2 linked regions of the Drosophila melanogaster genome follow. Changing the gene in region 1 together with any one later gene gives a genetic interaction. Each region holds a gene or a part of one and is shown on either strand. Other genes may lie near its edges.

What was found.
Region 2: of psq (region 1) and Marcal1, changing one suppresses a phenotype caused by changing the other (phenotypic suppression), as found in Drosophila melanogaster (one study listed by BioGRID).

What each region holds. Positions count from the first base shown.
Region 1 is NT_033778.4:10,554,802-10,562,416, forward strand, and holds the start of psq (pipsqueak), read left to right. Parts: upstream 1-3,086; 5' UTR 3,087-3,575; exon of another isoform or gene 3,576-3,732; intron 3,733-6,884; 5' UTR 6,885-7,003; coding exon 7,004-7,153; intron 7,154-7,224; coding exon 7,225-7,389; intron 7,390-7,615.
Region 2 is NT_033779.5:4,953,758-4,960,314, forward strand, and holds Marcal1 (Marcal1), read left to right. Parts: upstream 1-1,751; 5' UTR 1,752-1,825; coding exon 1,826-2,592; intron 2,593-2,650; coding exon 2,651-3,141; intron 3,142-3,200; coding exon 3,201-3,351; intron 3,352-3,420; coding exon 3,421-3,585; intron 3,586-3,650; coding exon 3,651-3,933; intron 3,934-3,994; coding exon 3,995-4,189; intron 4,190-4,250; coding exon 4,251-4,466; 3' UTR 4,467-4,535; downstream 4,536-6,557. Other genes in the region: Jon25Bi (jonah 25Bi), read right to left, coding at 566-1,366; CG34124 (uncharacterized protein), read left to right, coding at 4,721-4,815, 4,873-5,035, 5,094-6,557. UniProt on the Drosophila melanogaster protein: ATP-dependent annealing helicase that catalyzes the rewinding of the stably unwound DNA.

The DNA.
Region 1 (7,615 bases):
TAAAACATATTATTTTTTTTTTAATTTACTCACAACATTACAAAATTGAAATAGATACAATTGAATTTAACAGGAATAGAAAAGTGTTTAATATTGTTGATCATCAATTACATAAAACATTCCAGACCCATAATTCATACACATGAAAATGCAAATCTTCTATATTTAACTGTAATTTAAACTCGTTATCTATAGAAAATTGTTTAACAATGTCTCAATTGTCTTTGCGATTTATTTGTTTATTTGTTATGAGTACAACTTACAAGTATTCATTTCCTTAACTAAAGCCTCTTACTCAATGAACGCCAATAAATATTACTTTTACAAGTAAAAATATTATAAAGTTTATGATTTTTAAACACAAATTTCTTGTTTTTCTGGTGTAAACCTTAGAATATTACACCTTTTGCCAGTTGTAATTTAGAACCACTGGCGCCACCTGTGGGCCACACTTGTCTCTTTTTCAAAGCAGAGCAGAAGGGCAAAATGCTGACCTTAATATGCATTAATTGTTGCAGCAGAGCGATTCTAATGCGCTCACTCTCATTTTCCGACTCCCAATCGCTCTCTCTCTCTCTCTCGCCCCCTTTCTCTCGTTCTCTTTCTCCAGCGGGTTTCTTTCTCCGCTCCCCCACTCTGTGCATTTTCCATTTACGTGCTTTATGCTTTTTTTGGAGCAGCGCGCTGTTTCCATTTCGATCCCAATTACTGTTGTTGTTGTTGTTGTTGTGGCCTCTTTGTTGGTGTGGGGGATCTTTTGTTTTGTTTGTTTGTCCTTCTCTAATTGTGGAACCTGTGCGTGTGTGTGTTTTTAGAGATGGCACGTCAACGGGAATTTTGGTGGGTGGTGGGGGCATGTTAAATCAATACTGATTAACTGGGATTACATTGGGGAGCATTGAAACTCCCACTTTAATATGAATATTTATAGGAGCATTGAGTTTGCAGCTAAAGCTATGTATCTAAATTGCTCCAAAAAAGAAACCTTTGAAAACAATGAATGCATTCGAACATAAAATCAACTTAATATTCATATGAACCTATTGTATTTTTAGCTATTCTACACGTTAATTACACTACCTTATAAAATAGAACATAATCTTAAATTTAAAGTTTTGCTAATTTATGTATTTGTACAATGTACTTTCATATTTATGCCATTTATAGGAGATTTTTCCGCAATAAAATGATCACAGAAACTCTTAAAAGTTCTTCCTAAAAACTTATGAAATTCTTTGTTCCTGTGCAATTTAAGATATTTAGATTTAGATTTAGAGTTTGGGCAAAATGAATTCTAAATATTTGAAATTGTATATGGAAGGTATTCTATAATATTTTGGCATAAGTATATATATTTAGATTTGACCGATTAACTCAAATGATTCAGCCTCGTGACACGAAAAGTTCCACCCGCCACTCAATCCGCAGTGCAAGTAACTAAGCAAATGCGATATGTGTGTGCTTAAATGCATATAGCATGTTTATGGGTCTGCCGAATGGGGTTTTTCGAATGGAGTAGGGTGCGTTTGTGGGTTTTGTGGCGGGGGGAAAGGGGGGATGGGTATTTCGGTGGCCTATGTGCGCCTATAATTATAAGGCATATACACTATATACATATGTACATGGGCATAGCATAGCTGCGTGTTTTTCGTCGGGTAAATAGGTGCACACGTCAATTGCTGGAACGACCTCAATGGGTTCCCACTTCCAGGCCCCCCCTTCCACGGCCCACATTCGTTTGATTTTTCCGCACTGGAAAGTGGGAAAACCGGAGCAATTATTTCCCGATCCGATCATGCTACAATTATGTATGTTTAATTTTTTTTTTTTGCTGCTGATGTTGTGTTTCACTATTCACCATTCCATTGCCGTGGAGCTAGAACATGCAATTATTTTAATGTATTCGGCCTTGGGACTCATGAATGTCAATTGGCACGTAAGTTCTCCATTAGCTATTAGCTTTTACCCGCGGCTCCACGCATCCAAATGCAAATCTCTATATGTATATATAGATATGTACCTAAATGTGTACATACAAACTCATATGGTTTACGCTGCAAATCAGTCGTTTTGTATGCTAGCTTCGTTTTTTTTATGGTTTTTTATGGGGGCTAGGCGACTCCCACCCACTCGCACATATTTATACAAATTGAGACAGCGGAAAAAGTGCAACTCATTTGAATGGTTTCGCCTTCATTATGCAAATACGAGCACTGTTGGTGGCGAATATTTATTTGCTCATTATAAATACATAGAGTTTCTGGCATTTTAGCAATCATGACTTGCACGCACACGAGCATTAAACGAGTTTCTAAAATTCAGTGTAATGATCGAGTTTTATGGGACTATTGCATTCGAATTTGAACTGAGTGGGCGCCAACATATCGATAATATATAATGACAGTCGATATTTTCATAGCAACCAGCTTTCGCTGGGCTCGCTGCGCAACTAGGTGGCAGCTCTGAAATGTATATTACATGTAAGAAATCCTTTTACAAACTCAATAAATAATAATAAATGCTTGAAATAAATGTATATTTCAATACTTCTAAAGCATTTTATATATTATGTTTTTATTGGTATTACGGAAAACCTCCAACTTTCAATTTTAAAGCATTATATTTATAAATAAAATAATTCTACAAGCAAAAAAACTCATTTAATCCTGGAAGCACTTATGGATTTCACATTATAAAAGAACTGATTAAATGTATGAAGATACATCATTTTATTAACGTACATTTTGTAATATTTAATTTTTTGAATTTTCAGTTTCTGCGCGCCCATATCAAAGTCCGTAGCAAAAAAATCAATATAGGAAATGCAATAGGTGCAAGCGGGACGACCAGCTGAATCGAGCGGCGAAGCAAAGAAGACCCGATAAGGCGATGCCACCTAGTTAGAAACTAATAAGTAGTTGCATAAATAATACAGTTTTTTACACAATAGAAAATCCAAATGAGTTCTCACTCAATTTTAAAGCAAGTTATCTACTATTTGGAAACACTACCCAAGTAGTTTTCAGCCTTTGAGCACCTTTTGCTACATTTTAGCACCTTGCGGCGATCTGGCAGCGCCACACGAAAATGGCGAACACGAGCACTCCGATGAACGACGAGCTGAAAAAATAATTATTATTTTAAATTCCGTTTTGCCAGCGAAATTCGGTGCGTGCGCGAAAAAGAGTGCGGAAAAGCGCGGTTGAGAAATTTAATCGGCCCATTATGAAGCGGTCAAAGTGCGGCGCCAATGCAAATGGTTAGCCAAATGGCAAGAAATATGTAGCGATAGCGTGCCAGCCCAGTAAAATCAAATAGAATCAAATTTAAGTTTCTTGCTTTGCGAATTATGAAAAACCAATCGCAATGCGTGTGTGTGTGTGTACGTGTGGTGCGTGCGCGCGTGTGTTAGTGAGCGAGCGTAGAAGCAGAAGGCGTAGCGAGAAATAAAAATAAAAAACCATACAATAATTGATTTAAAAAAAAGAAAAGCAAAAAGGCCAACAAACGAAAAACAGCAGAAGCAACAAAAACACACGACAAGCGGCAGCAAAAACAACAACACAAAACTGGCGGTAAATACGCATACAGTACGATACAAAAAAATAAACTAGAAGCAACAACAAATACGCAACGTAACGGGAACTCTTTGACGTATTTCCTCTATTATTATGCAAAAAGGCAGGCGGCAAATTGCAGCAGCAGCGAAAATCAAATATAAATAGCGAAAAGGTAAGGACAGAGGCCCCACAAACTAAACTAAAAATAAGAGCCGAACATATTTGTTGTTTGCAGAGTGCAGTAAAATGGGTGCAAATAAATGGGCAAAAGAAAGAAGCAACAAAATACTGCAAACCTTTCAATTGGCTTCAATTGGCAAATGTAATTGTTCAGCATTACATTTGCATTACACCGCTCACCAACTCTTGCTCCCTCTCACTCTCTCTCTCACTGTGTTCTCCGCTTTTGCGCTCCCTTTGCCCCTTTTACTTTGCAAAGTTTTGCGACGAACAAGAACAATAATAATCAAAACAAAAATGTTTAAAATCCATTTTCTTTCGCCTCTCCTTCACCCACTCACTCATTTCGTAGCGCGCTGTCATTTGTCTTGCGCCTTTGCCTCCCCCCCTCTTCTTCTTCTTCTTCTACTTTACGTTGTCCCCTTCTTCTCTCTCTCCCCGCAACATTGCCGTCTCGCTCGCTCGCATGCACACCATGCACGGGTGAAGAGGAGACGTAACGAAAACGAAGTTGGTTTGCCTGGAATGCCACAGTGGGTACAAAAGGGTTTGATAGTGGTCACAGTCGACACAGTGGGGTGGGTATTTCATTATTCTGCAACAGAAACTCTTGTTATTCTTATTAAGTCAAGCAAAACTAGCAAAAATAAACATTTCTAGCCGGCTAAAAAAAAACTCAAAATCCAATCCAAAATCCAATAAATATTTAGTACAAAGTGCAAGATTGCTAATAAAATAAACCAAAAGTATAGCACTTACTTTTTGTAGGAGATGAAGGTTGTTAAAAGCATTCATATATAATTAATACGAATAAATTTATTTTATTTAAGTTCTAAATTATACGTACTTATCATTTTATATAAAGATTTACATTGCCTTATGCAGTGATGTTACAATCATCAATGTAGATCTTATAAGAATCAATAGGCCGTCCGTAGGTCGGGTAGGGTGTAGAAACATAAAGTGCAGTGAGGAAATATTAAAGGGCAAGAAAAAGTGAAAAAGCAATAGCACAAACATACAAAAAACACGAACACACATTATCCATTTGCCAAATAAACATGCACAAAGTAAGAGAAAGACGGGGAAAATGCAGAAGAAGAGGCTCCAAAAGGCGGCAAATCGCTGCATGTGTGTGTGTGAGCGAGAAGGCAACAATGGGACGAACAATATAAAAAAAAAAAAACGTGGAATTGGTCTAGTAATGTAAGAAGAAGAGCAGTAACAACGCGGACGAACGGACCGCATAATGCGCGTTTAATGATAAGTCTCTCTGTCCGAAACGAAGAGAGAGACATGGAGAGAGCGCGGCTGAGAGGCCCGCCGATTTTCGAGTGGGTGGCAACACCTAGTCTTCCTCTTTCTTTCACACCTTTTCTTGCCGCCGTTTTGTTTTGATTGCGAGTCTTCTGCGAAATGAAATGCAAATACAGTGGAGCAGCCTTAAGCTCGTAAACTTTTACATATACAATAAATGCAAATAATTTAAAATAAAACAAGTTTGGAAAATGCAACTATAAATTTTCTTATTATTTTTCTTAATTTGACTTCGAAATTTGTAAACAAAGATAGATTTCGAATAAATCAAATCAAAAACATCTCTTTGAGTATCCACTGTGGCAACTGTAACTTTGTAATAAAGAAATCCCTTGAAAATCTGACTTATTGTTCGGCATAAAATTGTGGTTGCATTTTAGCCTCCGCATTGGAAGTTGCAAGCAAAAGTTGGCATCTCCTCTCTGTCCGCCTCTTCGTCGCTCCATTGCCTCCCATTTTATTTGCACGGCAAGTTGCCTCCTCGAGCATCCTTTCAGCATTCCTATTATTCTTTTTTATGTTCCTTCCTTTTTTTTTTTGACAATGCCCCAACTAGCAAAAACAACTTGCAGGCACCAATACGTGCCATTGAAAACGAGAAAGGGAATTTAATCCGAAAAACACTGATTTCAGATACTCTAACTGCTACTTGGGGATTTTGTTTGAATGTTAATTAATTTAAAAACTAGTAGTAAATGGAAAAATGTAGTGTAAAAAGAGCGTTTTATTTGAAAATACCATTTATTTTGTTGTAAACATGTGACCATACTATGATACCCTTTTAAAAGGGCATACAAAAATGAAGTTTCACTGAAAACTGGTTTCAGTTTCGGTTTTCTTCCTTCTGGCCTGGCCCAACATTTTACATGAAAATGTGCAAAACAAAACCATTCCGGCGGTGCTAAAAACCACGCGACATGACCAGCACTAAATAAAGTTAAAATAGTAACTATTCGTTGAGCTCATAAGCTTTAAAAAAAAAGGTAACTTATGTTCGAAAATAAAACAAAATAAATTAGCTTGAATGGAATGTTCATTCATATACAAGTAATTTTGATTCTCTTCGGTAATCATATTCATTGGATTATTTTTACTCTAAACAGATTGGGAAAGCATACTAAATTGTTTTTGGTGGGTTAAACTTAAGTTAAATAGGCTGCTACAGAAAACCTTCTAGGGATAGAAACTAATAAGTTTGTTTTGAAAATCAGGACTTCAAATGCATTAGCATATTGTGATCTAAATCTCTTGAAAGTGCTAAAGTCTCGGTTCAAAAGTAATTAAAAATTGTTCTTCAATTCATACGAACTTGAATGAAAACGTTTTTAGTTTTATTATTCTTATAGAGTTATCAAAATAGAGAGTTGAAGGGAACTTAATACTTCAAGAACTTAAAAACTATTTTTATGTTAGCTGTTCAGGGTGCTACAATCGTTAATTACCATATTTCCCATAGGGCATTTACAATTCGACCTGCATAGCCTGATAGCCATTGACTATTCCTCCTACCTGTCTTCGGCATAGTTTATCCACCCCCCACCCCCCTGCCCGCCACCTCCCACTTTGCGTCTTATTCCCTGTAACTCGTTGTAAGGCGCTGTAAGGCTCTCGAACACAATGGACCGACTGGCTGCAACTCCTTTTGTGGCATCTTCAACATGTGGTTGGTGGTGGTTCAGTTGCATCGGGAACGGCAATTCGCCAAGAACTCAGATAGGAGGATGCAGCCAGTTGTCCTTAAAGTCTCTGTATTGATTGATGATTTGCCATTGCAACTCCTCGAGTGAACCGCATTAAATTGATGATTTTCTTCGGCTTTTCCCGCAGTATACTGGAGTATACACACATTTCCGCAGCGTGTTGAGCACGCCACAAGCATAAACAAAAGTGAGCAACAGGAATTCAGCTAGGATTCGGCGTGAAACGAATACGAAAAACCATACGAAATGGCAGCGGTTCGAGGACATCAGTATTTCAGTCTGCGCTGGAATAACTACCAGAACACGATGACGTCCGTGTTTCAGCAGCTGCGCGAGGATCTCTCCTTTGTGGACGTCACTCTGTCCTGCGAGCATGGATCCCTCAAGGCGCACAAGGTGAAGTATCTCGATATATGTATCTACACTATAGTTATGAAGCTAATCAAACTTTTGTTCAAAAACTCCAGGTCGTCCTGTCCGCCTGTTCGACGTATTTCCAAAAACTACTGCTCGAGAATCCGTGCAAACATCCCACAATTATCCTTCCCGCCGACATTATCTTCACCGACCTGAAAACGATCATCGATTTTGTTTATCGTGGTGAAATCGACGTCACCGAATCGGAATTACAGGTGAGTCGATATACTAGTTGTTAGTTTTTGCAGGTGATTCTAAAATAGATTTATCATTGTAAGAACGATATAATAGAGAATATATATAGAAATACAAAGGAATTTCATCTGAAATCGGAAGTATCTGATGTACGAGTATAATTATCTAGATTTTCATGTTTATATTTTATCATATCTTTCCAAATGTGTTGCCATAAAATGGGTTTAATTAGGCGGAAGTATTTAT
Region 2 (6,557 bases), on another chromosome or scaffold:
ACGTTCGTAAGTGCGCTACATTGTTTAGGTTTTAATATTAAACGCACTCCCATTAAAGTTATTAAAATTAAAATTTAAAACAATAAACTAAACATTTACAAGTAAAAAGTGAAATATTTTAAAGACGAAAGTTGTATTATTTTTTAGAAATATATTTCATATATTTAATAAATATATCACTTCGCTTTTGTGATTTGTCAGTATAATAATCCTTTGGAATATATAATCTTTTGGTAAATATATATATTATTTCATTATCTGATTATTGACTAGTATAGACCACAGTTGCTAGTATTCCTACTTATGTCTATCATGGCTACATATATAGTGTTTAATCATGTTTTCCAGATAACAAGTGTTCGATTGCCAAGAAACCATCCCATTTCTTAGCCATTCATGGCTTCTTATCTATAAGACGTTTATTATAGATTCGGATTCTGCATGACTAGACTTTTGAAACTTAAAAATATCCATGTGATTTTTTAAATGTAATAAAACCAGAAACATAAAGGCGTCAAATTAATTGTTATGCATTTCGTTTATTTAAAAATAAAGATAATCAAGCTTAGTAGTAAGCAACGCCGGAGTTGTCGCGGATCCAGTCCAGCTGGTTGGTAACACGGGTGAATCCGGAGGGCAGGCCAGCGGTGCAACCGTTGCCGGAAACCCAGGAGGTGACACCCACCAGGCGGCCACCGTCGTGGAGAACCAGGGGGCCACCGGAGTCACCGGAGCAGGTGGACTTTCCGCCGGAGGTGGACACACAGAGGATGCCATCGGGCTGGGTGCCGTAGGTGCGGGAGCATTCCGAGTTGCTAATGATCTGCAGGTCGACGCACTCCATCCAATCGGGCTGGGATCCGGCGGTGGTCAGTCCCCAACCGCAGGCGACGGCCCAATAGTTGTCGTACATGTTGTAGCGATCGTTGAAGCTGGGCAGCTCCACCTTGTTAACCATGTGCCAGAAGTCCACGTGGGGGGTGCGGATCAAGGCGATGTCGTTGCCGTTCTGGTTGGGCCAGTTGTGGTTCTGGATGAAGTCGCCGCTGCCGACGGTGTGGGTGAACTGGGCGTTGGTGCGCCAGGTGGCTCCGTAGTAGATGGTCACCTGGGAGGCGCCGTTGGTGCAGTGAGCAGCAGTCAGGACCCAATCGTGGGCGATGATAGAACCACCGCACCACCAGCCGCCGTTGCCGCTGAAGCCCAGACCCACGGTGTAGGGAGCCTTGCCCTCGTAGGCTGGATATCCGTTCACAATGCGGCCATTGATCTTGGTGTCCTTGGGCAGGTCCTTGGGATGAACCTGCTGGACAGTCTCGGCGGAGACAGCGGCCAAAGCCAGAGCCAGTACAACGAACACTTTCATGGTGATTGGATCAATCGTGGTCTGCGCCAGACTTCCATCCGTTTTTATTGCGCCCCTTATCGCTGTCTGGAGTAGCCCCCACTCGGCGTTATCCTATCTCTAAGAAATTCGCCCTCTGATACCAATGGAAATTAATTGATAGCACGTCTAAGAACATCTTGATAGGCAAAAAAAATAATAACTCGCTTTTAGGAAAAATTCTAAGCTGATTATCTTCGCTTACAACCGACGTAGGCAATATAAGAAAACAGAAATGATTTTAATTTAATTTAAGGACTAAATAATTTATACATAATATATACATAATAATGTATACATAGAGTATGTAAAATGTAAAAATAATTTAAAATAGGCGCCCAATGTAAGATGTAAGGATTGAAAAATGGCTCACCTGGTCACACAGAGCCATGCATTTATTGTTTATATATTCCGCCAAATTTTATCAATTGATGTCGCAGCATGTCCACTTGCAGTTCATCCGAGATAGCGGAGAAGAAGCGCATTGCGCTGGCCAAATTGCAGGCCAAGAAATCCCAGCTGCTGGCCAGCGCACCCGCAACCAATGGAAAATCAACAACGTCTGCAACAGGTGCGACGCAACATGCGAATAATGGAAAATCAAATCCCAATCAACCGCAGGCCAAATCCCCATTGAATTTCTACCGATCACCGACGGGGGAGCAGAAGAAGATCAACAGGAGCGGTCCCACGCCCGGTGACAACAAGAGCTCATCCTTTCTGAACGCTCTGAAAGCAATCAAACAGACATCCAACCGGGAATTGTCCCGCGGAGCAGCACATCCTTACCAGCGGCCAAATGGAGGGAACGAAAGAAACAAGCCCACTCTTTCACTGAGTTCGGATAAGGAGAAACCGGTGGCTGTGCTACTCGGAAACTCCATCACGTGTAATCTCTACTTGATCAGCACACATCGGTTTGCTGCCCAAACCTCAGGATATCACGAACAGCTCGTGACCGTGTTCAAGAACATGCCCACCAAGTGCTACGATGGCCAAACCCGTATCTGGAGTTTCGATCTGTCGGACTACCAATCCCTGAAAACTCATGCAGCGGATCTAAAGCCATATGTTCACATGAATGGCATTCCGAAGAAGGTGCTGGATCTCTGCGGCCAGCCGCCAGTAGTTCCGGAAAGAAGTGTTTTAGCTTCCATAGAACCGAAGCTGGCGGACCAGCTAATGCCCTTCCAACAGGATGGGGTATGGTAAGCATTGCTTGTATGCTATGTACTTCCAAAAGCGCTAAATTTATCATATGTTTAGCTTTGCCATAGCCCAAAAGGGACGCATTATGATCTGTGATGAAATGGGCCTGGGCAAAACCTATCAGGCCTTGGCCGTAGCCGACTATTTCAAGGATGATTGGCCCTTGCTTGTCTGCACCACCGCTTCTACGAGAGACAGTTGGGCGAAACACATAATGGATCTACTGCCGAAGGTGCCCATCCACTATGTCCAGGTGCTGAACAACAATCAGCTATATGTGGGTGAGGCCAAGGTGCTAATCACCAGCTACAATATGATGGAGCGACACGAAGATAAGCTGATGCAGCGGAAGTTTGGTTTCATCATCTTCGACGAGTCGCACACGCTGAAGAACAGCAAGGCCAAGTGCACGACAACGGCCAAAAGACTCACGGATCAGGCGAAGCGGGTGGTTTTGCTATCCGGCACACCGGCTCTCTCCCGGCCATTGGAACTTTTTACGCAACTGCAAATGATTGATGGCAAATTCATGAATTTCATGGAGTTCAGTATGTCAAGAATGTCTGTTTACCTTAGAACGCGCTTATATCGATTAACACATTCACAGCTACTCGTTATTGTGATGGAAAGCAGTCAACTTTTGGTTGGGATGCCAATGGTCAATCGAATTTGGAGGAACTGAAGGTCATACTTCACCTTAAATATATGCTGAGGCGAACGAAAGTGGAGGTGCTGCCTCAACTCGCTGAGAAGAACCGGTGGGTTGTTCACATTGTTGTATATCTATAATATATTTTCTAACATTTCGAACATTCTTCCATCCGCAGTGAGACTGTCGTCCTGGATCCCGCCCTAGTGTGGACCAATGCGGAGACCAAGGAAACCTTGGATGCGTTTAACAAAGAGCTTAAAACCGCTAAAGGCAGGGCAACGGAAGAGATCTTACTCCGTTTCTATGCACGCACTGCCGAAGTGAAAACTCGAGCGGTCTGGTAATAAAAAAAATCATTAAAACCATATAAACCATCTGAAGTTAATGTATTATCCTGCATTATAGCGCCTACCTAAAAACCTTAGTTAAGGAGCAGAAAAAGTTCATTATCTTTGCCCACCATCGTGTCATGATGGACGCCATTAGCGACTTCCTCAGTGGATTGAAAGTACACTACATACGTATTGATGGACAAACGCGTAGCGATCACAGGTCGGATTCTGTGGACACGTTCCAAAAGAAGAGCAGTTGTAAGGTGGCCCTGCTCTCCCTAAAAGCCTGCAATTCAGGAATAACGCTAACTGCAGCTGAGATCATAGTGTTCGCTGAACTGGACTGGAATCCTAGCGTAAGCTTCGCTTATATGTTAACTTGGAGAACGCTTAAATTTAGTTTTATTTTATGTGCAGACTCTTGCCCAGGCGGAGAGCCGTGCCCATCGCATTGGTCAGACAAAACCGGTGATTTGTCGCTATCTGATTGCTCACAATACGGCAGACGATATAATCTGGAACATGCTGAAAAATAAGCAAGAGGTGCTTAGTAAAGTGGGCATCTTTGCCGAAAATCTTCAGAAAGCAACACACACAGCAGCACCCACTTCAGTAAGATACATTTTGAATACTTTGAAAAATGTATTTTTCGCTAACTCAACTTTTTTTTTAGTCCCACAAGATCGAGGAGTACTTCTCGCCCTCCACGTCCACCTCCCTTGAACCGGAAAGGAATAGCATAAAACAATATTTTTCAACTATTCCAGCTAAAGAGCCGCCTGAGCAAAATAATAATACAGAAATGACCAAAGTAAACAAGGCTGAGTCGGATATCGCGGCGTTCTTTAACGATGATGATGATGAGGCTTTTTTGGAATTAGATATTTAGATTGTGTAATGGAATTTAATCCTAGAATGTTTATTGAGTTAATCGTAATAAATTGTATTTGAGAATGTTATAGCATTGAATGAAACTTGTTGAACGCACTTCTGCGCATGCTCCACGTTTGCAGAACTCTTTTCAGATAGCCGGTTTCATGTGACCTGGCAACAGGCAAACAAACACTCAAGTAAACCTTTTCACTTGTATCAAATAAATAAATACACAGCAAGTTAAGTTTTGTACAATAATAGCTAAATAATATGGATACTACGCAGGAATCTGATCTGCTGGGCGAAGAGGAGGAGTTGGAGAATGAGAACGACGTATCCTTTCCGCGTGATATCGTCAGTGTAGAGTGAGTACGGAATTGGAAGTTGATAACTTTTTCTTGATTGGAAAACTTCTGCTGCAGACACTCCTTTGGTTACGATTGTAAGAAGCTGTTTAATTTGGTCCTTGTGGATTCAGACACGCTGGTTTTTGCCTCTGGAAACTTCCTCAACTACTTTAGCATTTCGCGCCAGGAGATTTCCTTTCAGGAAACGGTCTACGGCTGCGGAGTGGGCTTTATAACGGTGAGCTTTTTAGTACCTTTGAGTACCTTTGTATGATCTAATGGTACTCCATTGCCAGAAAAACGAGCATCCTGACTACACCAACCTCTTTACGGTGGGCGAGAACGGAGCTCGTCCCACTGTCTTTATCTACGAGTATCCATCGCTTAATGTCCGTGTTAAGCTACTGAATGCAGCTCAGAATTGTTTTACGGCGGGCTCCTACAACAAGACGGGGGAATTGTTCGCCTCGCAGGCTGGCTATCCGGATTTCATCATAACTATCTGGCGTTGGGAGAACGCTGAGGTTGTCCTGCGTGCCAAGTCCTTTCAGAGCGACATTCTGTTCGTGCACTTTTCGGAGCACAATCCCATCCTGCTCTGCTCTTCCGGGCTTAGCCACATCAAGTTCTGGAAGATGGCCAACACCTTTACCGGCCTGAAGCTGAAAGGAGATCTGGGTCGCTTTGGCAAGACGGACTTCAGCGATATCTATGCCATGTACATGCTGCAGGATGAGAATGTGATCTCTGGCAGCGATTGGGGCAACATGCTGCTCTGGCAGGCGGGGCTCATAAAGTTCGAGATCTGCCGGAAGGGTCGAAAACCGTGCCACACCAAACCGATTACGAGGATAACCATGAAGAACGGTGAGGTGACGACGGTGGGCATGGACGGTTATGTGCGCGTTTGGTACTGGGAAACGGTCGACTTGGCCGATCCGCCAGAGGACGATTTGTTTGTAGAGATCGATCCGATCTACGAGTTCAAGATAGCCGACGTGGAGCTTCGTTGCATGCAGAAGATACATCCCTTTGATGAGTCCGATTTCACCCACTACGCCCAGGATGGTAACGGTGGCATATGGTTCTGCGACATTAACACCTACGACGTTCCTCAAAAACCGAGAAAGCTCTACTCCTGCATTGGCGGAAAGGTACTGGCAGCCCAGATGTCTCCAGTATCGCCCCATTTCCTCTGCATGTCGGAGAGCGGAAAGCTGTTCGTTTACCAATACGATGAACAGCGTCTGATCCTGGAGAAAGAGTTCCCGGCGGAGGGAGTCGATGTGATCTGGCTGGATACGAATATCTCTGTGAAGGGAACCGAGCTGGTGGCTGCCTTCAAGGATGGTATTCTGCGGCAAATGTATCTCGACCTGAGCAACGGGGAAAGGCCCAAGATGACTCGCGTAAGAGCCTTCAAGGCGCACACATCGCCGATTACTGCACTCACTGTAAGCCGGAACAGCTCATTACTCCTGACCGGCAGCGCCGACAAGAGCATATTCATTTACCAATTGAGCCGGGATGAGCATCAGATGGTGGACATGCGTCCGCTGGGATTTGTGCAGTTTGCAGCTATTCCGAACTGCTTCTACTGGCACGAAACGGAACCCACCGTCGTTCTGGTTGGTTGCAAGAGTGGTGACCTGTACGAGTACAACATCCGCACAGAGGTCACCGATCACGAGACCTACCTGTCCTATAACATAACAGAAAACTCGCGCATGCGCCACACGAAGTTCGCTTCCATTAAGAGC